Sus scrofa: one gene and its partners. The protein of the gene in region 7 interacts with the protein of the main gene of each other region in a pairwise test. Links are inferred from orthologs where the notes say so. Each region holds a gene or a part of one and is shown on either strand. Other genes may lie near its edges. The genes, in order: VPS52, SSX2IP, HMBOX1, CADPS, CCDC102B, MIPOL1 and FAM161A.

The links.
Region 1: the proteins of FAM161A (region 7) and VPS52 interact in binary tests that used the Homo sapiens proteins (3 or more experiments, as listed by UniProt). The link is inferred for Sus scrofa from reciprocal best matches to the Homo sapiens genes FAM161A and VPS52.
Region 2: the proteins of FAM161A (region 7) and SSX2IP interact in binary tests that used the Homo sapiens proteins (3 or more experiments, as listed by UniProt). The two-hybrid records come from large-scale screens. The link is inferred for Sus scrofa from reciprocal best matches to the Homo sapiens genes FAM161A and SSX2IP.
Region 3: the proteins of FAM161A (region 7) and HMBOX1 interact in binary tests that used the Homo sapiens proteins (3 or more experiments, as listed by UniProt). The two-hybrid records come from large-scale screens. The link is inferred for Sus scrofa from reciprocal best matches to the Homo sapiens genes FAM161A and HMBOX1.
Region 4: the proteins of FAM161A (region 7) and CADPS interact in a two-hybrid assay, tested with the Homo sapiens proteins (2 studies listed by BioGRID). The two-hybrid records come from large-scale screens. The link is inferred for Sus scrofa from reciprocal best matches to the Homo sapiens genes FAM161A and CADPS.
Region 5: the proteins of FAM161A (region 7) and CCDC102B interact in binary tests that used the Homo sapiens proteins (3 or more experiments, as listed by UniProt). The two-hybrid records come from large-scale screens. The link is inferred for Sus scrofa from reciprocal best matches to the Homo sapiens genes FAM161A and CCDC102B.
Region 6: the proteins of FAM161A (region 7) and MIPOL1 interact in binary tests that used the Homo sapiens proteins (3 or more experiments, as listed by UniProt). The two-hybrid records come from large-scale screens. The link is inferred for Sus scrofa from reciprocal best matches to the Homo sapiens genes FAM161A and MIPOL1.

The regions. Positions count from the first base shown.
Region 1 is NC_010449.5:29,636,286-29,640,526, forward strand, and holds the start of VPS52 (vacuolar protein sorting-associated protein 52 homolog), read right to left. Parts: upstream 2,884-4,241; 5' UTR 2,596-2,883; coding exon of another isoform or gene 2,593-2,595; 5' UTR 2,161-2,592; coding exon 2,071-2,160; exon of another isoform or gene 2,012-2,070; intron 1,291-2,011; coding exon 1,206-1,290; intron 1,053-1,205; coding exon 1,000-1,052; intron 829-999; coding exon 753-828; intron 44-752; coding exon 1-43. Other genes in the region: RPS18 (40S ribosomal protein S18), read left to right, coding at 2,593-2,595, 3,047-3,145. UniProt on the Homo sapiens protein: Acts as a component of the GARP complex that is involved in retrograde transport from early and late endosomes to the trans-Golgi network (TGN).
Region 2 is NC_010448.4:129,047,740-129,052,074, forward strand, and holds the start of SSX2IP (afadin- and alpha-actinin-binding protein), read left to right. Parts: upstream 1-1,446; 5' UTR 1,447-1,467; intron 1,468-4,335. UniProt on the Homo sapiens protein: Belongs to an adhesion system, which plays a role in the organization of homotypic, interneuronal and heterotypic cell-cell adherens junctions (AJs).
Region 3 is NC_010456.5:12,881,033-12,884,622, forward strand, and holds part of HMBOX1 (homeobox-containing protein 1), read left to right. Parts: intron 1-663; coding exon 664-801; 3' UTR 802-3,590. UniProt on the Homo sapiens protein: Binds directly to 5'-TTAGGG-3' repeats in telomeric DNA. Associates with the telomerase complex at sites of active telomere processing and positively regulates telomere elongation.
Region 4 is NC_010455.5:44,480,047-44,484,411, reverse strand, and holds the start of CADPS (calcium-dependent secretion activator 1), read left to right. Parts: upstream 1-1,551; 5' UTR 1,552-2,729; coding exon 2,730-3,173; intron 3,174-4,365.
Region 5 is NC_010443.5:153,930,266-153,934,284, reverse strand, and holds the start of CCDC102B (coiled-coil domain-containing protein 102B), read left to right. Parts: upstream 1-1,188; 5' UTR 1,189-1,430; intron 1,431-4,019. UniProt on the Homo sapiens protein: During interphase, forms fibers at the proximal ends of centrioles to maintain centrosome cohesion. During mitosis, dissociates from the centrosome following phosphorylation to allow centrosome separation. Contributes to CROCC/rootletin filament formation.
Region 6 is NC_010449.5:62,554,960-62,558,549, reverse strand, and holds part of MIPOL1 (mirror-image polydactyly gene 1 protein), read left to right. Parts: intron 1-656; coding exon 657-887; intron 888-3,590.
Region 7 is NC_010445.4:79,951,468-79,955,563, forward strand, and holds the start of FAM161A (protein FAM161A), read left to right. Parts: upstream 1-1,230; 5' UTR 1,231-1,442; coding exon 1,443-1,649; intron 1,650-4,096. UniProt on the Homo sapiens protein: Involved in ciliogenesis.

The DNA of each region.
Region 1 (4,241 bases), on a different chromosome or scaffold from region 7:
ATCTGATTGTGCAGAGATGCTATGTTCTCACTTTCTTGGATATCTGACCACAAAAGTCAAGGCCTTACTGTGCAGATAGAGCTCCTTGGACCAGCAGGACCTCTCCTTCTCTCTTAGCTGATGGAGGGCAGCTGTGGCGGGGCTGTCAGCACCATGCCCCACAAAATACTCCTTTTTTTTTTCTTCTTTTTTAGGGCCGCACCCACAGCATATGGAAGTTCCCAGGCTAGGGGTAGAGTCGGAGCTACAGCTGCCGGCCACAGCCACAGAAACACCAGATCCAAATTGCATTTTCGACCTAGGCCACAGCTCACAGCAACACTGGATCCTTTTTTTTTTTTTTTTTTTTTTTGGTCTTTTTGCTACTTCTTTGGGCCGCTTCCGCAGCATATGGAGGTTCCCAGGTTAGGGGTCTAATCGGAGCTGTAGCCGCTGGCCTACGCCAGAGCCACAGCAATGCGGGATCCAAGCCGCATCTGCAACCTACACCACAGCCCATGGCAACGCTGGATCGTTAACCCACTGAGCAAGGGCAGGGACCAAACCCGCAACCTCATGGTTCCTAGTCAGATTCGTTAACCACTGCGCCACAACGGGAACTCCAACACTGGATCCTTAACCCACTAAACGAGGCCAGGGAGTGAACCCGAATCTTCAAGGACACTATGTTAGGTCCTTAACCCACTGAGCCACAATGGGAACTCCCAAACGCCCGTTTTAGTAACACCACCCTTCCCTCTGCCAGAGGATACAATCACGAATGGATTTCTGCTCAATCTGCTGTAGCTCCAGTTCAACCTGCTTTGAATAGTGACGGAGATCCACACCCTGGAAGAGCATAAACACGATGGGTTGGGGGGGGCAGTCAGAGAAGGGACACTGCAACAAAGTCAACAAAGGATTTGGGGAGAAGACATTAAGATATTACACGAAGAGACTGTTTTCTTCTTTGAGGGGAGGGTGAGTGGAGGGGCAGATTAGGAGAGCAGAAAACCTCACCGTTTTAAGAGCTTCCTTTACTAACTCATCCTCCAGATTTGCCTGAATGTGAACTGGAAAGAGAAGTTTATCATAAGGGTCCAAAGGGCTCCACAGCGCCCGCTACCCACATCCGAACATCTGCACACCAATTCCTGCCTTATTACCTCCAGCCCCCATGCCTCTTAAGATGACAGGCACTGCGGCCACCTCGTGCCATCACTTACCATCAACTTCATCCAGGATGAATTCATCAGAGGTGAGGTCCAACTCTCCAAGTTGCAGTGGCTCCTGGAGACCTGGACCACCCCCCTGGAGAGGGGCAGGTTAATGGGAAAGGGAGGGGGAGAACAAAATATAATGGGGAGAGAGGACTTTCACTGGGAAACCAGAGAGAAATGCTGAGTCCAAAAAATTCCAAAATCTCATATTGTCCCAATCTACTCATTGGGGCTGATGGGTAGGGAATATGACAAGGAGCCAGCAAACCCACAGAGGTGACCAAATGAGGAAAATTAGGAGATGCAGGGACAGAGCAGAACTTGCAGTTGAACTTAGGGTCTCCAGACTCCTTCTATCTTAGATGTTCTGTTACAATCCCCGTGGGGAGCTCCAGCCTTTCTAGAAATGTCAGTTAACACAGTGTTCACCATCGTGCCAGGTGTCATCCTACATTCACCTAATCCTAACCGACAACCTCTACAGTAAGTCTTATTTTTTCACTTTATAAGTGTTAAGAGTGATGACACAGAGAGGCTAGTTAACTTGCCCAAACACACACAGCATAAGTGGCTGAGCTGGAATTAGAACCGAGGCAGTCTGGCCATGTTCCTAGCATTTACTCTACACCGCTTCTCTATCCTGCGCAAATATCTGGAGTTTAACTGAAACTGTGGCCCCAGAACCTAAGTATCAGCCATTCTAGTCCCCACTTTGGTCCAGGTCCGATCCGGGGAGGGGTATGGAGAGCCAGACCAGGCAGCATCACCGGTAGCAGCCGAGCTCCCAACCTTGCGCGAAACCCAGCCCAGACCTTTCTGACGTGAGAAGACCGGACGAGACTCTGGAGGAGAAACAGCCCTGCGTCCTCACCAGTGGGCCCTCCTCCTCCTCCATATCTGAGGCCCCGGACCGCAACACCAGCTCCCGGGCGGCTGCCGCCATGGTAGCAGCGGCAGCCATTCCGCGCAGCCCCACTTCCGGCAGCTGTCGGGCAGGTCCGTTCCCCTGAGTGGAACTGCAAGTTCTGGGGCGTGATGCACGAAACCGTTCCCAGATATTTGAGTTAAACAGACTGCCTCTAGCTCTCCCCTTTTCTCTAAGCTCTTCGCCCAAGTCCAAATGGAAACTGAAAGTCTTAAAAAGAGAATCTCAACCCGGAACTCTCGTGGCTCTCACGCGCAAAAACTTTACGATCTGTAAAGAGAGACGGCACCGGAAGTTGTGGCGCGCAGTTCTGACTCAGAGGCCTAGCCGGCTCAGGTACAAGGAGTTTCCGGAAGCGCTTCGCCAAGGTCGCTCCGCCTCTTCCGCCTGGAAGCTATATAAGAATGTCACGTCACTTCCGCTCTCTCTTCCACTGGAGGCCTACACGCCGCCGCCCGCGCTGCAGCCATGGTAAGAGTTGGGTTCGTTCGGGTATCTGGCGACATCGGAGCCGGGACAGGGAAGGCTTGCTGTCAGAGCGCCGAAAATGTCCTGGCCTGGGGGCTCGCAGCGTTTTGTGTGGAGCCTTGGGCCTCATTCCTGGAGAAGGACGACAAAGCACCCAGTTCTAGGCAGCGGGGCCCGAGGATGAGCGCTCCCCGGGCTCTGGGAAGGCTTGGGAGCGCGTGGGCCCTCCGTCCCGCCGCTTGGGAGCGGGCAGGAGGCGTTCTCCTCCGGAGATGGCGTTCTCCGATCCTGGACGCTTCCTGTTGTGCTGTCGGCAGGACCAGGGAGTCGTGTTGTGTCGTGAAGACCTGACGGGGGCTCTTTGCACCTTGCGTGACAAGCTTCACGCTCGTGTTTGGGGTTAACGGTTTGGCGGGAATTAGCGAAGTCTGACATCTCCCCCCATCTCTATCAGTCTCTAGTAATCCCTGAGAAGTTCCAGCACATTTTGCGAGTACTCAACACCAACATCGATGGGCGGCGGAAAATTGCCTTTGCTATCACTGCGATTAAGGTAAAGGAGCTGGGGGTGTGAAGGAAACTTGGGTAAACACCTGAGGTGTAAGCGAAAGTCTCAACCGTGTCACCTGGGCTGCTGGGTAAAAACAATGGTCAGGGTCCATCTAAGCCCTTGCCACATTTGCCGCAAAAGGTAAGTGGTAAAAGCCAAAGAACCGTCTTAGGTGAAGCAAAGTTGTTTTCACCTAGGGGTTGGGGAAAGGCTTTGGTTGTCTGCCAGCATTTGTTCACTAAACCGGCCTGGACCATCAGCAGTCAACTTATAAGGTCCCTGCTATATAGGTTTTTGCTCCTCCTAGTGCATCATAAGAGCAATTCTTGTGAAATGTGTATGTCCTGGAAATGGGATAATGGTACACTCTGAAGGGAGAGTAGAAAGGCCAAGAGATTCCAAGCATGAAGAAACCAGGAAATGGGGGGGGGGTCACTATTTCATAACAAGGTCAGTGAGCACAGGCTTAACTAACATAAAAAAATGACCTTACCAGTATGTTTATGTTATGTGGTGCCAGGGCTAAGCCTTTCTTGCTCACAATCCCCAAAGGACACCACAGTAAGTATTTTATAGATAGGTTGTTAATTTAAAATGGTGAATCACAAGCTTTGCTTTATAAGAGCCATCATGTTTACTTTGAATTCTTTTCATTCTGTAATTCAGGGTGCACAACTTTCGGTCTTAAGTGGTGCATGAGGAGACTGCTTCCTTCTATTGTGAAACTAGTAAGGCGGTGCACAGTAGAGGCTTATTTTATTGCACTTTACAGATAACCTCTTTTTTGTGGCAACCCTGTCTTGAGCAAATCATTTTTCCAACAGCATTTGTTCACTTGGTGTCTTCTGTCACATTTTGGTGATTCTCACAATATTTCAGACATTTTCATTGTTATATTTGTTACAGCGATCCATTGTCATTGACTTTTGTTACTATTGCACAAAGGCTCAGATGATGGTTAGCACTTTTTAATAAAGTATCTTTTCATTAAGGCATGTATGTATGTTTTTTTAACGTTAAGACTATTGCTCACTTAATAACCTACATAACTTACATGCACTGGGAAAACAAACAGATTTTGTGTAGCTCCCTTTATTGC
Region 2 (4,335 bases), on a different chromosome or scaffold from region 7:
ATGACATCATTGATTAAGGTTTACAAAGCAAGGAATAAAATCTATCAGGAATCAAGCCTCCAGATTTCTTCTCCACTGAGAACACAGAAAAAGAAATTTGCCTAGTGTGAAATATAAATAATGAAATAAATGGAAATGTATAACTAGGGTAAAATTGAATTGCCAGTTGCAGAATAAAAAGATAAGAACTATTTTTTTTATTGCAACACTTCAGCCTTCTGTACTGAAATGTATATTCCCAAAAACTCTTCACATAAAAGTCTGGGTTTTAAGTAATGACAGGTAAAACTCTTTTAAAGAAAATCCAACATATTAAAATATAATCTTATAGAACGGAGATGATGATAGGAGATTGTTTTACAAAGGTGTCATTCACCATGGACATAGATTTATCATAATTTTAAACATCTAGTTTCACTAGTACATTTAGATTATGATTTGATTGCTAAATACATTATTTAGACATGACTTTTGCTGGAATATATCTATAATATAAAGCAAGTACTAGCCAGAAGACATAGTGCTAGGGCCTGAAAATTTCAAAACAGTAAGTCATTTTGTGCAAAACTGTCTTCATCAATGTATCTTAATTTTTCTGGCCTAAATTGGTAAAGAAGGAAAATATAATTTAGAAAACCATTAATATCTGAGATGCATATTTATAATTCAAAGCATAGACACGGTCCCACATTTTCCTTGCTTCCATTTAATTATTCCATTCAATCAGTCCTTTGTAAAAATCTCCTATACTTCATTTTTCACTGACTTTTTTGCTCACCAGACTGTTTCCACATGTGCCACGTGAGTATATTTGTACCAATAAAATGAAATATCACACCCTTAGGTCACTTCATGAGAGCTCTTTTTTCAATGTGCTCCCAGGATGTTTTTGGTTGGGATCATCAAACAACCTAAACCCTGAAGCTTTATTGTTTACTAAACAGAATGCCCAGGGGAAGAAAGCCCCAAGTGGGCTTGGGAGCTTAGGGACGTTACATGGACCCAGGTAGCTGATCTGGCATTTCAGCCCAGGCCATGGGACTCAAGGGCACTAGTGCACTGTACCTCTTCACAACAATGTCAGACTGTCACTATTCTGTTTTCCTGGGAAACTCTGAGTTTCTGTTGTGAGCAGGGTCTTAAATCATTCAATAAATATGCATTAAACTGTTGAGGAAATTTTCAAATAACAGCAGGGAAACTAAGACTGTGTGAAATAAATGCGTGTTTTGGTGCAGAATTATATCAGAACTATTCAAGTGAATGCTGGATCTTTGTGCTCCGTGGTTTTTAAATTTATTTCAGTATAACTAAAAAAACAGTTTGGGTCATTTATAGTCCCCATACTTCCTGGGAGGGACTTTTGTTGTCTACTCAATGCTCAGAGTTTAAATTTGCAAGCTTAGAAGAGCAGACTGAGTCTAATTGCTGGGTGAGAAGGGTTTAGAGGCCACTGTAGTCAGCAAGGTAAGTTTCTGTGTGTGTGTGTCTTAAATGTGTGTTCATTGCATTTCTTAAAGGAGGTATGCTTTTATCTTGGAAATACAGGGTTTGAGAACTACCTTGGTTGGGTACGTGATCACGTTTCTATGATAGCACCTTATTAACTGTTGGAGTGATTTCCACACAATCAAGTTTTACATGACATATTTTAAAATTAATGAATCTTGGGACAAATGGAGAGTTGGAAACCAAAGCGCTAGAGTCTGGTAAAAATCATGCGTCTCAAAAAAAACAAACCAAGACAAACAAAAACAAAACAACAACAACAAAACCTTTCCCAAAAGGTAGGGCAAAACACGCAGCAGACCAGACAAAAATCTAAAGCACTAAGAGTGGAACACCTAGAAAATGATCAGGCATTTTGTCTGCTGTTCTGTGTGTTTGTGTACGGTGTTGCGGCATGGCAGGTCAGGTAGGGCAGGGTGGCAGGGCAGGTAATGATGAGGAATGGTTTCCTTTTCTGAGAATCTTTACTTGGGTCGAGGTGGTCTGCTTTTTCTGCAAACTCAGCCAGCACTTTATAAATGGCACAGAACTGTTATTTCAAGCTGAACTACTACTGACCCAAATCCAAAGGGACTGGCTAGAAATGAATTGTCTTTGGACATGCAGCAAGATGCAGAGATTCACTCAGCTAGCTAGAAGAGCCAAGCCCAGCTAAATGTAAGACCTCCTTTCAGACCAGGAAAGAGCTAGCGATCTGGCCTCTGCCTACGGGCAGGCTTGCAGAGTGAAAATGGCCCCTAGGCCCTATCCAGGTCCCTCTCCTCCGCAGAGTGATCCCTGACCACTCCAGCCCACAGCAACGTCTCTGAAGTTTTGCTGTCCTTGGAATCGGTCCTGTACTATTTTGCCGTTAATTATGAACAGGGTTAAATTGATCTTGTGGATAAAATGAGGCCATAGGTATGAAAGTTCCCAGTACAGGGAGTTCCGTTGTGGTGCAGTGGTTAACGAATCCGACTAGGAACCATGAGGTTCCGGGTTCGATCCCTGGTCTTGCTCAGCGGGTTAAGGATCCGGCGTTGCCGTGAGCTGTGATGTAGGTCACAGACGCGGCTTGGATCCCACGTTGCTGTGGCTCTGGTGTAGGCTGGTGGCTACAGCTCCAACTGGACCCCTAGCCTGGGAACCTCCATATGCCCGGGAGCGGCTCGAGAAAAGGCAAAAAGACAAAAAAATAAATAAATAAAAAATAAAAAATTCCCAGTACAGATTCCAGCAAGATTTTGTTTATCCTCCCTGCCACCCCTGGAGAGACAGTCCTGGCCACATCAGAGAGTTAATGAAAGTGAGGCCATTAAGTAGCAGCGATTCAGTCCATCTTATCTGCTACAGCATATAGGCCCTAATAAAAAAGGTTGTTGGATTATTAACTTATTACATATATTAACATCAGAGCTTAAAATAAAAATATTTTAAAAAATATAAACTTGTAAAAATTAATGTATTACAGAAGTTAATAGAATATTAAGCTATCTTACCATTAACAGTTTGGTTAGCAACCCTGTAGTGCAGGCACAGAGGGGCTGGGACTACAGAGGCAAACATGACCAGCAAAGTCCCTACCTTCATGGGGCTTACATTCTGGTGGGAGGAGACAGACGAGCAGCAAGCAAACGATTAAACCAATAAAACCAGACCTGGAAAGGCTGCTTTACCTATAGACATGGGATCTGAATGATGAAAAAGAATCAGAGCCTTCCAGGCAGACTGAATAGCACGTTCAAAGAACCAAAGGAGAAAAAAGGGAGCTGCCATGGCTGGCACTTGTGTACAAAAGTGAGAGTTTTAAGAGGGCTATAGGCGCCAGGTCATGCATGCATGAGTGGATAGGAAGTTCAGTTTCATGCTAAACACAATGAGAGGCATGAAAGATTCTTAATTGGGAGAGGGGGCTGAGAGGGTCTGAGTTTCATTTTTGAAAGACTGATCTAATAGAGGCAAGAATGGAAGTCTGCAGAAAGTTTGGAAGGGATTCATTCACACATACACAGAAGCATATAGAGTTTTAAAATACACGTGTGCTTTTCCTGCGACTTGTTACTGGTGCATATTTTTAGAATTCTTCTTTGAAATTATGTTCACAGTCAGTTTACTGTCTTAGACATCAAACACATCTTGTTTTTTGACCTTTCCCTATCCACTCAAATGCAGTAACTTAGTTGGAAAACACAGGTTTGGCATTTTAACACAACTCCAGAATGTGTTCATCAGATTTGGCTCTGAATAACTTCTTCTCAAGGAAAGCATTCTTTTCAAAAAGTCAGTGTCTACCGATGTGATACTTTTGAGCAGCATTATGGGAACATGTATATAGGCTGCCAAGGTGATTTATTTGAAATATAAAACATCCATTAGAAGTCACATTCATTTATTTACCAAGAATTATCTGCCACTAATCACTAAGCACCAAGCACTCTTTTAGACACTGGAGATATATATATCAGTGAACAATCAGAAAAATGCTCTCTCCCTCTCTCCCTGCTTGGCTGACACTCTAGGCAAGGGAAATAGGCCAAAAAAGAAAATTAACAAAGTAAGTAAGTAAGTATTATGGTTGAAGATTATTATAAGAGCAAAGTAAGAAAGATTTAGAAAGCTGGAGGGGTGTTTTTCCAATTTTAAATAATATTTGTGAGGTTGGTCCTCACAAAGAAGGTGACTTTGGTTAGATGTGGAAGGGGAGAGATAAGTAATACAGATGTTAAGGGAAAGAACATTCAAGCAGAGGGAATAGTGCAAAGGTCCTGAGGCAGGAAAGTGACTGGGAAGAATGAGGAACAGTGAGCTGGCAATGGCTGAATAAGTGAGAGAATTGTAGGGTGTGAG
Region 3 (3,590 bases), on a different chromosome or scaffold from region 7:
TGTTTAACACCTCGGGTGATGCGGAAGGCAAGCTTCACACTCCCTCCAAGTAAGACGCCTGTGCTTCCCTTGTGCAGCTGCCTTACAGCAGGAGACTGCCACACGTATTCTCCCCTAGCCATTTCTGCCAGTCGCACTTTTGTCCTGATGTAATTGAGAGTTTGGGGGTTTTGTTTTTTTACAAAAATGCATTTTTATCCCTAAGATGTTGGTGTCCATAGTTTTGTCTCGTTTTCTCAGTTGAGTAGAGAGAGGACATGAATTCTAATAATCTTTTTGTAATACAAGTACCAATCTGGAATTTAATAGCTCACTAGTTTGGCCTTCAGTAACTAGTGCTGTATTTCAAACATAGACTGATCCAGGTTTGATCATCACCACCAGCAATCTTTCTGATAGAAGAAATAAAATCCTCAGCAGGAAAAAAACTATTTGAATGCTTTTTATTTATTGAATCATAAAAATGCCAACCGGAAGTCTCTGGACTTAAATCCATTCAGTGTCTACTTAAATACATTTCACCTCTCTTCTGTCATGCCCCATCTCCAACTCTGTTTCCTCCCATAAATGTTCTGCCTCCCCTTGCCCCAGCATGCCTTTCTATAAGCTAGAGAATTTTACCAATCCATTAATAACAGTTGTTTCTTATTTCTGCACATCTAGGATGACAGCACTAGCCATAGTGACCACCAGGACCCCATCTCATTAGCTGTGGAAATGGCAGCAGTCAACCACACTATCTTGGCATTGGCCCGACAAGGAGCCAACGAAATCAAGACAGAGGCTCTGGATGACGACTGATCAGAGAGGGTGAACACGAGAAGTTAACTTAGTTTAGACGTAGCACCTTAGCAGACTTTCCTCGGTCCTTAACATGTGTTCTTACAGTATAACTTGCAGTTTCTTGTATGTCAGTTAGCCGTTAGGGTCTTGTTCTGTGAAGATGGCATGGTGCCCTCAGCCTTTGCATATACTCTCAGTATTAATTCCAGTAAATAATAACCAACCAACCAACCAAACTTCCCTCTCCCAGCCCCTGAGGCTAGAAAAATCTTGCTGCTCTGTCTTAGCATTCCAGGAAAGTGCTTCCAGGTATTTAGATAGCCCTCAGTTTTCAAATATTAGGCTACGTGTAAAACCTTGGGTACCTTTAGATTCCTGTAACACTAGTTTGTACCCCTTTTCCTTCCCCAAGACTGGTAGGATGCAAGCTGAGGTAGTGTGGCCCAGGATTGACAGACACCATTTGGGGAGTATCCGCAGAGTAAAAGGAACACTAGAATCCCTCCTCAGCGTGGGAGTAATTGATTTCCAGCTGCAATAAGCCGTGCCTCATAATAGTCACACTGTGGCTAGATTATACTTCTTTGGGTGCTGTGCTAAGAATGTCAGTGGAAAAACTCGATCTCAGATTTTGGTTGATGTTAACATGCCTGACACAGACATCCTTTCCTCTCACAAGCTGTGTGACTTAGATAAAATACTGCCTTCTCCTTTGGGACCATGATTAAAACAAACAGAAAAATGACAAAAAAAAAAAAAAAGTCATTAAAAAAAAACAAAACAGAAAACCCAGCTTGAGAGCATTGGAAAAAAAAAAAAAAACAAAAAACCATGAGCTGAATGTCTAATGGATTTTAAGTCCAGTTCTCAGAACCACTATACAGTATGTGGCACAGCTACGTGCCTGCCTGGAAAGGTGCTGGAGGTCGTCACGGAAGCTGCTTTGCCTCCTGTCTGTGTCCCCTTTCCCTGCTACCAAAAAAAGCTCTTTCAAGGATGGAGCTAAGGTCATAAGTAAGTGAACGAACTTCCAGTCTTTGTATCCATTAACCGAAGCCCCCTCCACATGAGAGGTTATTAGAAGACTTTATAGTGGGATTATGCTGACTGACTATCACAAATGCAAATACTTACCTAAATAGCAGCAGAAAAAAGCAGGGGACGTTTGCCACTTATGTGGTGGGTCTGCGAGATACAACAGGATGTGACTGCTTTGGTGTTCTCTTTACTCTGTCCTTGGAGAGGTGTGAAAAGCTATATTGCTACAGGCAATTTATTTAATAATTGGAAGCCATATTGATAATGGATGTGGTAATATTTGTAAAGTTTAATCTACTTTAAGCAGCAGTAACTAATGGAATTTTTTTCCTTGATCACATATGTAGCACTTTTGTTACTTTTTAAAGATATTTATATTTGATAAATCTTTTTTTCATTTTGAGAATTCAAAATACCAAACAGTGAACTTGGGTTATAAAGTCACCCTGTGATCACCTTGTCATCTAGTAGCAAAATGATGAACTATTCATGCATCAAAGAAAATTACATCTGCTGGCCTTGGATGAAAATGATCTCTTGGCATCTCGATTAAAGGACGTGCTGTCACTGTGGGTAAGAGGAAACAGCCTTCAGTGTGGCAGCGTAGGGTGCGTCTGAAAGAGGCACAACTGCTCTATATTTCCTGCCTCGCTCCATCTCTCCTTCCTATGTACAGAGAAGCCTTGTTTAAAGGGGAATATGGGGCTGGCTATTAAGCAGGGCTTTGTCTGTTTATCCATTACCTGAAAATGATTTCTGAGATTGAAGGAGGGTGCCATTTCCTTACCTCTTCACCCTTCTTCCCCCACCAGATATTTTCAACTTAAAACCATTGAGAGAGAGAGAGAGAGAGAATGACTGACCTTCTTTGTTTTTTTTCCTTCCTCATTAGTGAGATACTGAATATCCGCCAGCTTCTCGCTGGTCTCACTCCTCCACGTAAGGCATATGCTGATGAGCTCGTCTCCGCGTCTGTTAATCCTGCTTACGTCAGTGTAAGGAAGCCTTTGAGAGGCATGAAAATGCCACCTTATATGGGTCTGTGACTTTATATAGAGTTATAGGCAGGACCTGGGCCTGCTCCTGTCCATGGATTTCAGGGGGAAAATGTACATATTTTTTTCCAGCTTTCAAGAATTGAAGTAAAATGGAGCAGTCTTTTCTGTTTTACTATATTACTTGAACCAACAAATTCAAGAGTAGCATTCGTTATTCTCAGGAATGATCCCCCCACTCATTTTCTTGCTTGGTGCGTTTGACTTTTTATTTCAATTAGGAGATTGTTATCTTTCTTTCCTTTTATATTATTTAGAGAAAATATACCATATCTTTCCATTGTGGTGGAATTTTGTCTGCTTATTCTCAGTTGAATCAGAAAGAAAAGGAGAGGGAAAAATACACTGTCTGACAAGCCACATCCATGATTTATTGTAAGGAGATTATTATAATTGATAGCTTCTTTATGATGGGATGGCTAGTATCATTTGTTCTTGCTGGTCCTTGTAAAGAAGCAGACTCTTAACTGTTAAGGCAGCTGCGGTTTCTAAAGAAATACAGTGATTGCCAGAGAAGAGCTAAAAGGTTTCATTGTTTCCAGACCTTTAAGGAAGGAAAGGAAGCTTCAGAGAATAAGAGAGAGTGAGTGTCCATAAGGGGAGTACCAGGTCCTACCTGGAAATCTGGGAACGTGAAAGGGCAGGTCTGCCGGTGCAGGTAGCATTGCCTTGGGTTCAGTAGGAACCGCAGGAAGGAGTCTGTGGTGGTTCTGT
Region 4 (4,365 bases), on a different chromosome or scaffold from region 7:
AAAAATTACAAAGTATTTCCAGTAAATTTTTTTTTAAGTCTCTTTGATTAAGGAGTCATGGCTGTATTCTCCTGAGCAGAGGGTTAGAATTATCTAAGTAATGTCATATATAATACCCAAGTCATAGGTTTATATGATTAATGAGAGGTAGATACCAAGTTTATGTTTTAATGAATATAACTGCAAAACTCCCACAAAACTCCAGAAAAATTGTAAAAATACTAACCGAAACAAAACTTTCTTACACTGATTGAAAAATTCCAATTGGTTCTAAAGACAGAACTGGTGCCTACTATGATGATACTTAAATGCCTTATCTTTCTTAAAGAAGCATTATCTAGTTAGTAAATGGCTTTGTCTGGTCTTCAGGAGCAAATCGCCATTCTCCATAGCTAATGATTTGTGATTTGTTTCTTTGTGTCCTAAAAATGACCCTCCCATATGACCAAATGGATTATTTCAACTTTTTTTCCTCCTCACTTTTCCCTTTCCTGCTCCCATACCACACCCCCCATAGCACTCTGTACTTTTGTTGGCCCTTGTCCTGTCACTATGGCTTTGCAAATCACTTTTTCCATTTGTAATATCTTCCTTTTTACCATTTATTCTTATGTTTCCTATCTTTAAAATTTAACTCTCTTTTTTTGATTCTCTTCTATTCCCAGTTGCTTCATTTGAGCAAGCTTTTAGCAGTTTACTAAGTTAAATTTATTGATATATTGCCTTGAAATAAGTGCTGTCAATCTTTTTTATGAGTTTATGTTGTATTTCCAAAGGGAGATTATAGACTCTTTAAGAGAATGTCTTCTAAAATTCCCACTTATCCTTAGGACAATAGTCATTTCATAAAAAGATGCTGACTAAAGGTTGATTGATTGAGTGATTGGCCTACTATATTTCCTCTTCCGGGGAAACCAGTACAACATAATTTGAACATCTTTTACTTCTTTAGAAAAATTTAAAAGTGAGAACTGCCAAAGTGTAAAAATTTCCACATTGCTGGGTTACTTATTTTAAATAATACAGAATGTATAATGACCACAGAAGTTTTGCCCTTGAGGTGAGTATGGTGGTGAAGTCAAGTATGAGCCCATGCATATATTACATAATTTTAAAAATTAAACAGATTGTTAGAATTAATGTGGAACTAGATGCTGTTTTAAATTCATTTTTAAGTCTCAGACTAGCTAGAAAGCTTTTCTTGAATATCAAAGCCTACAGTAAAACTCATGGTAAAATTTAAAATACATAAAAACAGATGTGATATAAACTTTAAATTCACACTACACTTTAACAATAACTCCCACGAGTATCTACGAATAATTAGAGCCTTGAAAATACATAAATGTGGGAGATAGGGTGAGGGGAAATGAAGAGAGGTCTCAAGATAGCTTAAGACCCAAGGGTGGATGGTCCTGGTTTATTTTCAATCCATCTGAGGGTCGCTGATTAGATTCAGCACGCTGGCTAGCTCCCCCCGACCGCTGGGTTTATTGGCTTAAGTGAAAGCAGCACGGGGAAGGAAGGCACCATCTGCTGCTTTGAATTAATAGATAACCCAGAGGCAGGAAGGAAAACGGTGCGACAGTCAGCGCATTAGTTGTTGATGCCTGAATTCTTAGGGTGTCTTTATCTGATCCACTCCTCCACCCAGATCTTCCAGCGAGCCAGAATGGAGGAAGGACTAAGCAATCAGAAACCCTTCTATTTCTGTGGTAGGCTCACCTCAGCATAAAGTATTACTAGTTCTCGGAATTGAAAATTGTTCATCATAGCTTTTGCGGGGTAGACAAGGGGAGGGCTGCTAGTTAAATAGTTAAGTTGCATGCTCAAATTTGATTCACTTTTATTTTAATGAGAATGTGCGTATGTAAATTGCTGGCATCAGAGTTTACACAGGTGGGACAAACAAGCTGCGCAGCCTCACTGCCCCAGGTATGAATAAAGCTGTGGATTTAAAAAAAAAAAAAAAAAACAGTTTTTTTTTCCCCTAAGATCTCGCCGACTTCCTCTTAGACCTCTGAATTTAGTGTCTCAAATAGCCCACTCTTCGCTGACAAGAAGTAATCACAGGATTTGTTTATTTCCTCCTACCCCCCGAAACTTTTTGTCCGCGAAGGGGGGAGAGAGGTCGAAGCCTGGAGAGCTGGGCGTCAAGGAGGAAATTATCCAAGAGGGGATGGGGGTGAGGAGGGCGGGAAAGCATTAGGGTCAGTACGGAAGCTCTGAGACTTTGGGGACGCTCCGCGCTCTCCCCGCTCCAGCCCTCTGCAGCCACCCTTTACGCCGCGGACACGGGAGAGTTAAGCCAATAAACACGTAAGCGCCGCTCCCTCCCCAATCGGCAAGATGCCTCTTCGGCTCTAGGCTGCATCGACAGCTTGCAACACTCGGCATCTTTTCTGGAGGCGCCTCCTTCAGCGGCTGCAGATGGCATCCGGCTGAGGGCTCGGAGCTCGCAACTGACTCTTTCCCTTGCCCACCTCGGGTCCACGGACGCAACTCTCGCTTCCCCTCCTCCCCTCGTGCTCCTGGGTCTGAGCCCAGCTGGCGATCATCAGGCGGAGGAAGCAGTCGAGCGGCGGCCGAGGCTGAGCATCAGCGCGCTCGCTCCCTGATTTGGGGAGAAGCGCCCATCCCGGAGAGCCGACCCCCAGCCGCCTCCAGCGCCCCCCACCTTTTGCACCCCAAGCCAGGGGTTCCAAGGACCCCTCTCCCCAGGCGCCACCATGCTAGACCCTTCTTCCAGCGAAGAGGAATCGGATGAGATCGTGGAAGAGGAAAGCGGCAAGGAGGTGCTCGGCTCGGCCGCGTCCGGGGCTCGCCTGTCTCCCAGTCGCACCAGCGAGGGCTCGGGCGGCGGCGCCGGGCTGGGGAGCGGCGGCGGTGCCGGCGCCGGGGCCGGGGTGGGCGCCGGCGGCGGCGGGGGCAGCGGCGCGAGCAGCGGCGGCGGGGCCGGGGGGCTGCAACCTAGTAGCCGTGCAGGTGTCGGCCGGCCCTCCAGCCCCAGCCCGTCGGTGGTAAGCGAGAAGGAGAAGGAGGAGTTGGAGCGGCTGCAGAAGGAGGAGGAGGAAAGGAAGAAGAGGCTGCAGCTCTATGTGTTCGTGATGCGCTGCATCGCCTACCCCTTCAACGCCAAGCAGCCCACCGACATGGCTCGGAGGCAGCAGAAGGTAGGTGCGCCGGGGAGGCCGAGGGAGCAGCTCCGGGACGTCGCCAGGCGGGCGGGGCGAACAATGGGAGCTGGCGGCGCAGCTGGCGAGTAAGAGACCGCGCCCTGGGGAAGGAGCTAAGAGGGTACCTCCCCGAGGCCGAGCCCCGAGCCTGGAGCAAGCCAGGAGCTGCCCCGGACCAGCAAGGGGCCGGGAGCGCATAGCCTGGGCCCTGCCAGTGAGCGAGGCGAGCAAGTCCGGCTTTGTGACCCCCTAGGCTCGGGGAGTGACTAGCAGCCCCGGCTCCGTGAGAGGCCTGGCTCGCTTGCCCGGCTCCCAGCACTCTTCAGCGGCGGGCGGCTGCGCTCAGCTCCGGGCCCGCCCTCCTGGGCGTGCGCTGGGCAAGCGGGCGGGGGCGCCTGGCAGGTGGGGGCTCCGGTGAGGAGCGAGGAGAGCGCCTCCGAGCCGCGCTCCTGCAAACCCGGGCGGAGAGCAACCGCAGGGGCAGGCGGGAGAAAACGAGCCCGGAAGGCGAAGCTTCCCTTGACTCTGCGAAGGGCACCCTCCTACCTCCGCCCGGGTCAGCTGATTGCCAACTAGGGTTGCCTCGGGGTCCCTGGACCCCGCTTCCCCCTGGCCAGGCTTCGCGCCACTCCCTTGCTCCTGCTCCCGAACCCCAGAGCTGGGGCGCACCCTCTGGTCCTTCAGCCGGGGTCAGCTCCCACTGCCTTCCTCCCTTTGACCCTTTTCTCTTCATCCCAAGGTGACTTCGCCGCCACCTTCTGGCTCTCCGATGCTCTCCAAGCCCTGCCGCTGCTAGCTTGAAAAAGTGCAGCAGCAAAAAGCCTCGCAATTACAAGCATCAAAAGCTTTTTGTGTCTGAAGCTAGGGCAAGGCTGAGGCGGTTTCGGGCTACCTTTCATGGGAACAAAAGTGCATATTTCTATCAGTTGTTCTCCAGCCAGAGAAAGGAGTTGTTAGTTACTGCAGGTTGAGGGCCAGTGGCGGCGAACCGACTAGAAGCGGTCAGCTACCCAGCTGCAGTAAGTTAGTGAAGAAACTGTTCTGTCTCTTTTAGATGAATCTGAAGCAGCTGAAGTATCAGAAACGCTAGTTAAACCCCTAGAGGGGCGGTTAAAGCCAGCGGTAGCCCCATCAAGGTTGGAAGACCAGTTTTTTAAACTAGTGAATTTCTCCGTTGTTGTCATTTAAG
Region 5 (4,019 bases), on a different chromosome or scaffold from region 7:
ACTGAACTAAAAGGGAAAGTCATTGGCATAACTGAAACTGACTGAAGAATTGATATTTACAATCTCATGGTGAAAAATCCAGACAAAAGGGAGAGCTCAGTGAAAGCGAAGAGAGTATGGTGATGGAGCACATTTCCTGAAAAGACAGAACGAAAGGAAACCTCAAAGGCTTAGTTTACGTTCTGTGGAAGATGGTCACCCTCTCCATTGCACCAGGAAGTAAGGAGGAAAGGATGCTGTTAAGCAGAAATAGATGATGAGTAGGTTATTCAGCTAAGAACACTCCTCCAAAATAAGAACGGAATAAAAATAAAATAACTTGAAGATATTAACTCCCCAATGTTGCTATTTTCATGCTATTTATAAGGATACAGTGATCTAGTTTCTTTTGCCCTGTCCTCTTTTTCTTGGGTGTTCTATTCTGTTTCAACTGGAGAAGCTCTCTTTTATGTGGTGTGACATCACCATTCATCATTATGCCTCCTGACAGCTGCATCAAGTCACTGCAAAGTCACTCTGGTTCCCCCCCTCCCCCTCCCCCTGCCAGGGACAGGAGCCAGAGACCTCTTTTGGGGGCCCTAGAGAGCTCTCTTGGCAGCCCCAGAGAATGCAGCTCATAATTTTCCCAAAATGACTGGAAACAAAGATTTCAATGTATAGTTTTTGTGTCTTGATTTCTATACTGAAAGTTTATTAAATATTTTTTCTTTTTCTTTTGGGGGCAATCTAATAAAAATCATTTTGGACCAGTGATATTTCCTATTGTTCCTGTAATCTGCAGCATAATTTTTCTTTAAATCTATTGTAGATAGATATGTTATGATTTGATTGGCTTTTTCTTCTCTTTTTTTTTTTTTTTGGCCCATGGCACATACAAGTTCCCAGGCTAGGGATCGAACCTTGCTATGGAAATGACCTGAGCCACTGCAGTGACAAGGCCAGATCCTTAACCTGCTGTGTCACAAGGGGACTCCACATTATTAGTACTTTGGCTTTGCCACTTTATTTTTTCTATTACTATTGCAAGTTATACAAATATTTTTTCTATTACTATATACAAGTTATTAAACAAATACACTGGTGGATGAAAGGGTGGGTGGTTTCTTCCTTTTTCACTCACAGCACAGTTTGAAATAATTTGTGTAGAGACCATTGAATAGCCATATCCATGAGTTAGGGAATAGTAAAATGATTTCATTTTGGATAGTTCACTTGTGATCCACAAAGGGTGTTGTTGTATTGGTTTTGATAAAACTTCACAGCCAATGGGAATCTTTTTCAAGTTAGTGTGGAGTAGCCTTAATGCTGGAAATAATCCTGTTGGCCAGGACCCCAGAGCCATACAGATGAAAAAAGGATGCAGGAAACTCTGTTGTTTACACATGTGTCTGTAACACTGAGCCGCTAGAGCAGCCCAGCAAGCCCAGAGGGTAAGATGCTTAATAACCTTGTGGTTTTCTGTTTAATTTTTATATTTTCCTGGTGGGGCCGAGTGTGCGGTATTCTCAGAGCAAAGAGAAAGACAGTTGCTTATAAGATGCAGAACAAAACTACTGTAGGTCTGAGAAACAGGGATTTAGAGTTTCTTCTTAAAGTGGACTTGATTTCTTCCATCCCTCTTCCATTTTCCACGTTGGTATTATTTATCCTAACAGCTTGTCAGACATTTCCTTTTTTTTTTTTTAATAACTGTATACTAACAAAGGTAAGATTTTCAACTCTAAATTTAGACAGTAATATGATATGTTGGTAATAAAACTTATTTTGTTGCTCCAAACTAATATGATTTAGTCATTGTGTTTGAAGTAATCTATATTCTTAGAGTAAAAATAAAATAGAATTGTTATGCAAATCCTCAAGTTTATTCCTCATTCATTTAGAGTTCTCATTTTGCTAGTCTGCATGCTGAGTTTCTATCACTGTTCACAAAAAACTATACTTCCAACTCAGCCCTAATCTTGATTTCTTGATATAAGTTATCTGGGTGTGGAGAAATACATAGCATAAAATACTAAAAGCTTTCACATAATAAAATGAAATAGGCATTTAACTCTAGAGAAAGTAATTACAGAATTGAAGAAAAAAAATCTCTGGAAACCATTGGCAGTATTGTTTATGTTTTCTGCAAAGATAAATTATGAAATGAATGTTGAGTGGGTAAATCTGTTAAATAGAAATATAAGAGAGATATCCTTCAAAAATACAATTAGAACATGTTACATACGGCATTGAAATATTCAGATATATTTCTTGATATTCTCATTTACGTAAACATTAGTTTTCCTATTTTCTAAAATTATCTGAATACTCTTTTGCTAATATTTTTATGGGATAGGGTATTGCTACAACTTTTAATTTTTTTGCTGTTCATCATTTTATTGTCAAATATCCTAACACAGAAATTAAATGGTCTTTAATTTCTAACTTTTCTCCATATTTTTACTTAATATGGAAGTGAATCTTGAAAAATTAGTGATACAATACCTGTACGAGCTTTGTGTGATTTTGCAACATTGATTTAAAATATCAATGTCTACTTGAATCTTTAGGAGAATGTTTTATATGAATTCCTTTTTTCCCCAAACCTTTAAAAAATATTTTTCTTGTGTGTTAAATATCATTTAGTAGTCTCTCCTTTGCACTCTTCATTTGTTTTGATTGTATTCAGTATTTGCTTGATCTCTGGGACATAACTTCCAGGTACCTCACATGGGTGTGGCCTTGAAATTTGTGAGGGTTCCATCTAATTATTGGAGCCACACATATAATGACAATAATTATTTAAACTAGAAAGTGATCTTAGGCCATTTCCATTTGAAGAAGAAGTATATCTCCCATGCTTATATTACAGGGGCAGTTGAATTCTGTCCTATTGCCAAAACCTTCAAAATTTCCTTTTTAGTAAGATTTTAGAGAAGCCTTGAAAGAAAAGTCTGGCTATGTAAGTTGAGACTTAAAAAATTAGAGGAATTTAGATAGTTGCTGAAAAGCAAAAAGACTCTTCTACTTTGTAGAAGTAGTTGAAGCAAAGGGTTTTGAGGCTAAATTAATCTAAACCAGGAAGAGTAGGGATGAATAATCCACCTTATTGGAGCAGAAAAAAGTACACTTTGTGAGGAGCAGACATTGTGTTCAAATATAGAGCTGGATAGAGTTGTGGCGCATCTTAAAACTCATATAGATTAATTTTGTCTGTATACAATTGGGGCAAATGCAAGTTTCTGAGGAGATGGAGTATTTTTACTCCTCCTCCTCTTTCTTCATCATCTTCTTCTTCATCATTGGCAATACTGCCAGCACGTAGTTGTACTTCTGTGTACAAGATAATTTACATACCATTTTGATAGATGTGTGATCAAATTAACTTCATCTCACATGTTATCTTTATTTTACACATGAAGGGCTCTGATGTTCAAAAATGTCAAATGATTTCTTGAAAGCCACAGATATAGTAAGTGGAGCCAGGATTCCAAACAATGTCTTTCTGGCTTCAGAGCTGTTCCACTATGTTGCACTGGTATTTTAAGAATGTGAATCTGGTAGGAGTTAGCAGGATGGTTTGGAATGGGCATTGGGGTAACAGAGTGCAGGGAGGAGGTTGTGAGAAAGTAGGCAGATTGGTTCCAGCATTTGTAAACCTAAACTGATCACAGTTCCCTCAGATGGTCCATTCTTGCCTTTGGTAATAGAAAGAAGGAATAGATACTGAAAATAAGCAGTGTTTACATTTAATTGGCTGTTCTCATATTCAATTCTTATGCTTTCCTCTTTTTTTCATTTTCTTGAATGTTTTATTCACATTCAAAAATATATATTTTGATTTCTGAAAGGAAGTTGCATCTCTGATTTTCATCTAATATTACTTATTCACAAATAAAATATGTGAAGTGACTGGAAGTGATATTGGGAACATACTGGATCCCTTTGTTTCTCTTTGATGGTGTGATATGAATGGATGCCTAGTGACCACACCTTAAAATTATGGAGAGACTCAATTATGACCAAAGAAAATTATTCTG
Region 6 (3,590 bases), on a different chromosome or scaffold from region 7:
GCATTCATTTAGTCTTAATTTATATGCTGTTTCTCTGTGTGACTTAATGAGCACATGTATTTGGCATAAGATTCATTAACAAAAAGAAAATATATCTGAATACATATTATTTCTGTGCCGCCTGAGTAGTGATTTTAACTTCATTTATATCTCAACTGTGACAAGTAGAAAATGCCCTGTATAAGGCTGATCAGTATTTGTACAAACCTCATTCATTCTCATTAAGTGTTCAGCCAAATAGACCCTGGATCTACTAAACTGATGCCTGTTCTCTTACTTCTCACTTCTTTGCAGTCAGCTTATTATATTCTTTTATTTACCTAGAGATACTTTATTTTGTAATTCTTTGCTATTACTTTTAAAGAAAATTGAATGTAATATTTACACTGATATAATTAACATCTTGCAGCAACTTTGTGTAGGCTTTGATAGCAAAGCTAATCATTTGTCTGGGTAGCTTTCAGCCTAAAAGCAGAGAAATGGATAATTATCAAGCGTAATATTGTCATACAAAAATTATTTTCATTTGCCCATTTAAGTATGTCTTTATTGATTTTTAGAAGTGGATGTTTCTAACTGGAGATTTTTGTCAAATAGTTATTGGTCAGTCAGCCTCCCTATTTATGTTTACATTATTTATTTTTATATTTTCTCAGTTTACACAAATCCTTATCCCAAGAAGAAAGTCTGAAGGATCAGTTTAACCATACCCTTAGTACCTATGAAGAAGCTTTGAAAAACAGAGAGAACATTGTTTCCATCACTCAACAACAAAATGACGAACTATCTATCCAACTGCAGCAAGCTCTGACAGATCGAGCAAACATGGAATTAGAGCTTCAGCACACCGTGGAGGCCTCCCGAGCAGCCAATGACAAAGTTCAGAAGTAAGTGAAATGACCTTGCATAATTTCAAAAGCATGAAACAAAAAAGAACAAAAGTGCTATCTTTTAGCAACTAAATCATATATTATTTATTATGCATACTGTTAATAGTTGAAGACAAAAGTAGATTGAGCCAGATGAACTTTTTTAGAGTGCCTGTCATATCCATATTTGGGGTCAAAAGTCATTTACTTGGGAATCACAGGTACTATTTAGGATAAACATCTTTATTTAATAAGTGATCTTCATGAGTTCATTCAGGCCATATGATTAAAATTGTTTCATGAGAAATAGGTAGTTATTAGCAATGGGAAGAGGCAGTCAAGTTGCCAGCTTTCCTCATTTAGCTTCACAATAATCCTGCTTGGGTTGAGATCATCTATGACCTTTCAGTCTGAGACCTCTAGCTCATAGAATCCAGGACAGTGAAATTAATTTTCTTATGTTCCTCTTCTGAAGAATTCAATACAGCTTTTCAAAGTATGTGATTATAGTTGTTTATTTTCAGTAATCTTTGTGTCTTTATTAAAGCTTCAGTAAAGCTGCATAATCATAAGTCTTTAATGATAGCCAGCAAAACATTAACATAACTTATCAAAGAAGTCATTTGTTAATTTATGGGACTCGAATACTCTAGCAAAATTTTCTAAGGCAGCTTTAATATAAAAGAACTTGTAATTTTAATTGAGTGCTTCTTTACTTATTAACAGCATTTTGTCATTCACACACATAATCACATTCAATTTCTAAGACATACTTTTTTCCTTAAGTTTTTTTCAGTTTTATAGTATGAAGAAGTTCTTACTTCTCACTACTTTTTATTGAAAATAAGTCATCTCAAGCATTCCCGCAGGATCCTTGAAATTATATTTTGATTAATAGCCCAAGATCAGGTAAATATATAATTGAGACTGTTTTAAACCAGATTAGGAATTATGCATATTAATCTTTATTATCAATGTATGTACCTTGAAACTTATGATTTATGGTATTATGTTTTTTATAGGTTTTTATAAAAGGAGTTCTCTTATAGCAGTTTAAAGATCCAGTATTGTCACTGCAATGGCCTGGGTTGCTGCTACGGCATGGGTTTGATCCCTGGCCCAGGAATTTCCATGTGCTGCAGGCACAGCCCCCCAAAAAATAATAATAAAAATTCTAAAATTAAAAAAAGTAAACATTAAATTTATATTCAGTCAGAAACTATATCAAGTTATTCACAATGTATATTAACATTCTACGAACACCAAGATATATATATATAGGTAGAGCTCATTTCATTGTAAACTATAGATCAGTAACTTTTGACAGTTAAGATCTGATTTAGCTCTATTTGCTTTAAGACTACAAATACTTAAAAATTTCAACTTTTTTTATATGTAATCCTTTAATTTCTCTACATAACTAAAACTCCCTAAAACAGTGTTTCCCAGAGAGCAATTAGATTTCTAAAAAAAAATATTTATAAATGTTGTCAACTTTTTTTTGTCTCATCAGCTATCAGTTTTATTTTGTGAAAGATATAACTTTACACCCCAAGAAATAAAAATAACATTTTCTCAGATAATACTTTAAATAAGTTTAACCTTTTGAAAAACTCACTATACTGTTCTTATTTTTCACATTTAACAACAGACAAATCAAGACTTTTTTCATGGAAATGGCATGGACAATCCATGGACAGAGTTTAAGTGCAACAATTAATGTCTTTTCTTAGAATTAAATGTTAAGTTTTAATTTAAATGTTAAATCTTTTATTCTGATTTCTGGCAGTCAGACCTAGATGAAAGATTACCAGTAATTGGGAGTTCCCATTGTGGCGCAGTGGTTAACGAATCCAACTAGGGACCATGGGGTTGCAGGTTCAATCCCTGCCCTTGCTCAGTGGGTTAAGAGTTCGGCATTGCTGTGAGCTGTGGTGTAGATTGCAGACGCGGCTTGGATCCCTTGTTGCTGTGGCTCTGGCATAGGCCGGTGGCTACAGCTCCGATTGGACCCCTAGCCTGGGAATCTCCATATGCCGTGAGAGCGGCCCTAGAAAAGGCAAAAAGACAAAAAATAAAATAAAATAAAGATTACCAGTAATTGCCTAAGTATTAAATTCAACACTCCACTTCTAATTATACTCTATTATAAAACTATATATGATCATGGTAAAATAAGATGCTTGTGTATCTTCAGCAGTATACCATGGTAATTTAAAAGCTCAGTCTCTGGATTCACAATGCATAAGTGTGTGAACTTAGACATTTTAAAACACTGTGCTGATGTGGACAATAGTATGTGGACAGTAATACTCCTATCTCCTAATGTTGTAAGAATTAGATGAGATTGTACATGTGATGCTTTGAGAGTAGTGTGTGTTGCATAGGCCCTCCTTCTCTTATTACTTCTCTCATATGCACTATCTCATTCCTCAGAAGGGCACTCACTACCTTCGAGGCTAAATGCCTTTATATACATTAATCTCTCTGCTTGGAGCCTTTTGCCCTTTCCCCTCATGATAAACATATTCATCCTATGAGATGCACTGCAGCATAGAAGATAGAGGCAAGCTTCGTCGTCAATCAGCCAGACCTATGTTTGAATCTCTGCTTTCTTGTTATCTCTGAGATTTAGGACAAATTTCTTATCCCCTAGAAGCAAAAGTTTTTCAGTTAAAATATTTAGACCATTGCCCAGGGCTTCACAGGGAAAGTTGATGT
Region 7 (4,096 bases):
TATTTTGAGGCTATATTATTAGATACCTGCAAATTTAGAATACTGCTGGTAAATGGAAGGTTTTCTGTCTTTCACATACACATACAATGTGTTTCTCCACACTTACTCCTCCTATTGTATTCTAACCTAGCCTAGCCTAATCTCCCGTTTTCAGTGCTTTAGCATGTAGATCTGCGTTGCTGATTTGGGGCCAGGCTTACAATAAATCCTAGCAAATTCTAAGAGGGGCGCGTGCAGCCACAGGATTAGCTGCATGCAAAGAACTAGAAGTCCCTTCTTTGGTCACTTGGGGCATCCATACTTCAAGGGCTTCCAGCTCTGGCTTCTGCTCAGAATCCAGCCAGAATCTGTTCCAGTGTTCGAAGCAAATGCTCAGCCAAAACAAAAAGCAGCCCGAAGACGGTGAGGGGGTTGGGAATTTTGCAGGTGCTCACGCTCTAGACCAGGCGAACAAGAAAGGCTTGGTATGATGGGCTCAGATCTCAGAGGTTCCAGATATGGAGCGCCGCATACTTAACTTTGTAGTGGTGCGGCAGGTTGAAGGGCCAGGCCTGGGAGGAGGCGGAAGGATAGGGCTGGGGAGGTTGCTGCAGCCTCAGTCTCAGGAAGTAGGGGCTTAGGTAGCTGAGACTGCAACATGCTCGCTATTTTAAGGCTAGGCCCCTCTTACCTGCGAGGGGTGTAGAGCGAAGGCGCCTGCGAAGCACCCAAATTCCAGGTGGGAAAAGTTGATGCGGGAGTGGTGGAGAAGAGGCTTGTCTGTTGTTATCGCTGGGAGCTTGCACACTTGGACCCCACCACTATAAAGCTAATGAACCCAAGCAGCAAACACTGGGTTCATACACCCGCACTGTCACTCACTGGCGAGGTTCTACCCAACTCTGGGCTTTCATTGGTCAGGCGGAAAGTATCGCTAGCCGGATTCGTTGACTTCTGCCAGCTCTCAAGTCAATCAGAGTAGAATGTGAGGCACTCCCTTCCATTCACCCGCTCCACCTCGCGGGAGCCATGTTAGCTAGCGGGGTGCAAACCTTGCCACAGGCCTGAGGCCGCAACACAGTAACATCCCCAGTTTTCCTGTGCCACCGCCGTTTCCTCCTAACATGTTATTTCAATGAATAAAAATGCGCTCCCCCCATAAAAGAGTAACTCATTAGTATAATGTGAGAAGTCTGCGTTTAGGCGGCGAAGCGCAAAGGGAAAGAGGTGCCTTGTTCCGTCCGCCAACGCTCTACGCCAGCAAAGACTCAGTCCTGATTCCCACTATCCAGGAGGCTCCGGGGTTTCCCGAAGCGTGCGCGGGTTTTGAGTGACGTTTGGTCGCTCGCGGCCCCTGTAGCGTCCCTAGTTACCAGGCCCCTAGTAACCACCACTCCAAGCCAGGAGCCGCCGGCTTCCCCGCCCCAGGCCAGCGCGGGCGCTAAGGCCTCGGAGGCGCGGTAATGGCCGCCTCGCACCAAACTGCGAAGCTGGCGGCTGGCAGTCTCCAAACCCCGGTCAGTCCCAACACCGGAGCGCAGATTGCCCAGTACGAACGTAAAGACCCCTTAGAGTCCCTGTCTGCGGCCACGGCGGCCTTGGAGGAGGAGGAGGAAGAAGAAAAGGAGAAGGAAGAGGAGGAGAAGGCAGAGCGGCCGGCGCGGGCGCCGGTAATGCAGGGGCGGGACGTGGGCTGGGGCTGGGCTCAGGCGGGGTGCAGCTGGAGGCTGGTCTGCGACCCCAGTGGTGAGGCGCTGGCTGGGAAATGCGCGCACTATTCGGATCCTCCCTAACCTGGTGAGCCTGGCCCACTGCGTTCTCTCTCCTCCCACAGAAAATGCTCAAAATCGAAGCGTTGAAAAGTCTTTTAATTTTAGCCAGAGATGCAAAATTTTCTTGGAGATTTACGTTTCTCTATTTCTAGAGAGTGCAAAGTACAGAACTTTACTCCTTATGCTCCATCGTCTGTTGGGGGTAGATACAGCTTTTCTTTTTTTTTTTTTTCTTTTCAACTTGAAAATCGATCTCATAGAGGATAACCTATAAAACGGAAGGAAATCAGCTGTGCTGTCAGGTGTGTTTTGTTGTCACCTTGATGTCCTGGTTATTAGTGCATCTTAATACAATACATGAGAGATGGTTTTTAAAACCATCCAGAGTTTAGTGGGTCGATCAGACACAGATATAGTTAAGCCTCCAGAGAAGCGAAGTACTGAGGTTCCAATAAATTATGGTTCCTCAGGGTAGGGTGAGACAGTCTTTTCACTGATCAATTTTCAGTGTCAAATGTGTTGTGAACCCCTGTCCACCAGGTCAAGTCTGCCATCTGCTCTATTCACTTAAAAGGTGGGAATCTTGAATTTTACCTAGCAATCTGCATATATAAACCTCCTTAAACCCAGTTAAAGATTTTTTTTTTTTTTTTTTTTTGCTGCACCCAAGGCATGAGAAAGTTCTCAGGCCAAGGAATCAAACCCCTGCCATAGCAGTGATGACTGGAGATCCATAATCCACTGTCACAAGAGAGCTCCATAAGATTTTTAATACGTTTTGTCCAAACTTTTTCAGATTCAAAATGTTGTGGTCTAGGGCTGATAGAAATCACTGGATATTTTGGATTTCTAATCTCTTTAATCCACACTGTTAATGAGAAAATCTGTAGCAACACTTTTTATAGGTAGTATTTACCAACAGATAAACTACTTGAGGTTATCCAGAGTAATGCAGATTGAGACCATGAAGGTGAACCAGGCCAAGCGACCTAGTACCAAATTCACTCACAGTAACGCTTTCCCTCAACACAAATTTCAGTAGCCAACAAAGGAGACAAAGTCACGAAGGGAAAGGACTCCATATGGATAGAGAAAAAGGATTTGGAGTCCTGGGTTCGGATCTTTTCATTTGCTAGTTGATTTTTTTTTTAAGTATATTTGATTTACAGTATTGTGCTCATTTCTGTTGTATAGTAAAGTGACTTAGTTATACACATATACATTCTTTTTTAAAAAATTAATTTTCCTAGGGCTGAACCCGTGGCATATGGAAGTTCCCAGGCTAGGGGTCAAATCGGAGCTGCAGTTGCCAGCCACAGCACAGCAACACCAGATCCAAGCCGTGTCTGCGACCTAAACTGCATCTTGCGGCAACACTGGATCCTTAACTCACTGAGTGAGGCCAGGGATTAAACCTGTCCTCATAGATAGTAGTCGGGTTCTTAACCTACTGTGCCACAACACAAACTCCAATATATTCTTTTTTAAATATTCTTTTCCATTATGGTTTATCCAAGAAGATTGGCCAGTTGATATTAAGATGTAACTTCCTTCAATCTCAGTTTCCTTATCTGTAAAAGAACTATAATAACTGTCTCTTTCTTGTCTCACTGGACTGTTATGAGAACCAAATGAGAGAATGTATGTCATAACTAAAGGATAGTTTGTGTAAATTAATAATAACAACTGCCAGTGGGACTGTCATTTGAACAATTCTTCCAAAGATTCTGCATTGGCTTGCTGTGGTAGCGGAGTCAGTCATTTCTACAGTTGCAGGTATACTTCCAGAGTGCCCTGATAAATTGCAAATTTGTATTACAAACTTATCACCTGAGGAAAGATTAGTTTGTTTATCTAATGAGCTAGTTTGCAAGGGACAGGATCCTACTGAAAAAAAAAAAAAACAGAAAAGAAGGAAGCTAAGTTACAAGTCTGACACTGTTCTGAGACCACCATACTTGAAGGATCCCAAAGCAAATCTGAACAAGCTGCCACAGTAATAGGCCTCATAGTCAGGGGGCACTGGGGTTGGTGAGCAAAGCACTGAAAAGGCAGGAATGAAAGTACAGGAGCCAAGCTTTGCCTTCTTCACAGTTTGGGTTGGGTTTCCACCTTGATTTTTTTTTTTTTAATTTATCTTATTTTTTGGCTGCACTGGTGGCACATATAAGTACCCAGACCAGGGAGCAAAACTGCGCTACAGCAGTGACAACAGTGACAATGCTGGGTTCTTAACCTGGTAGGCCACCAGGGAACTCCCCTGCCTTGATTTTTTTTTTTTTTTTTTTTTAAGGCCACACATGTGTCATATGGATGTTCCCAGGCTGGGGGTTGAATTGGAGCTG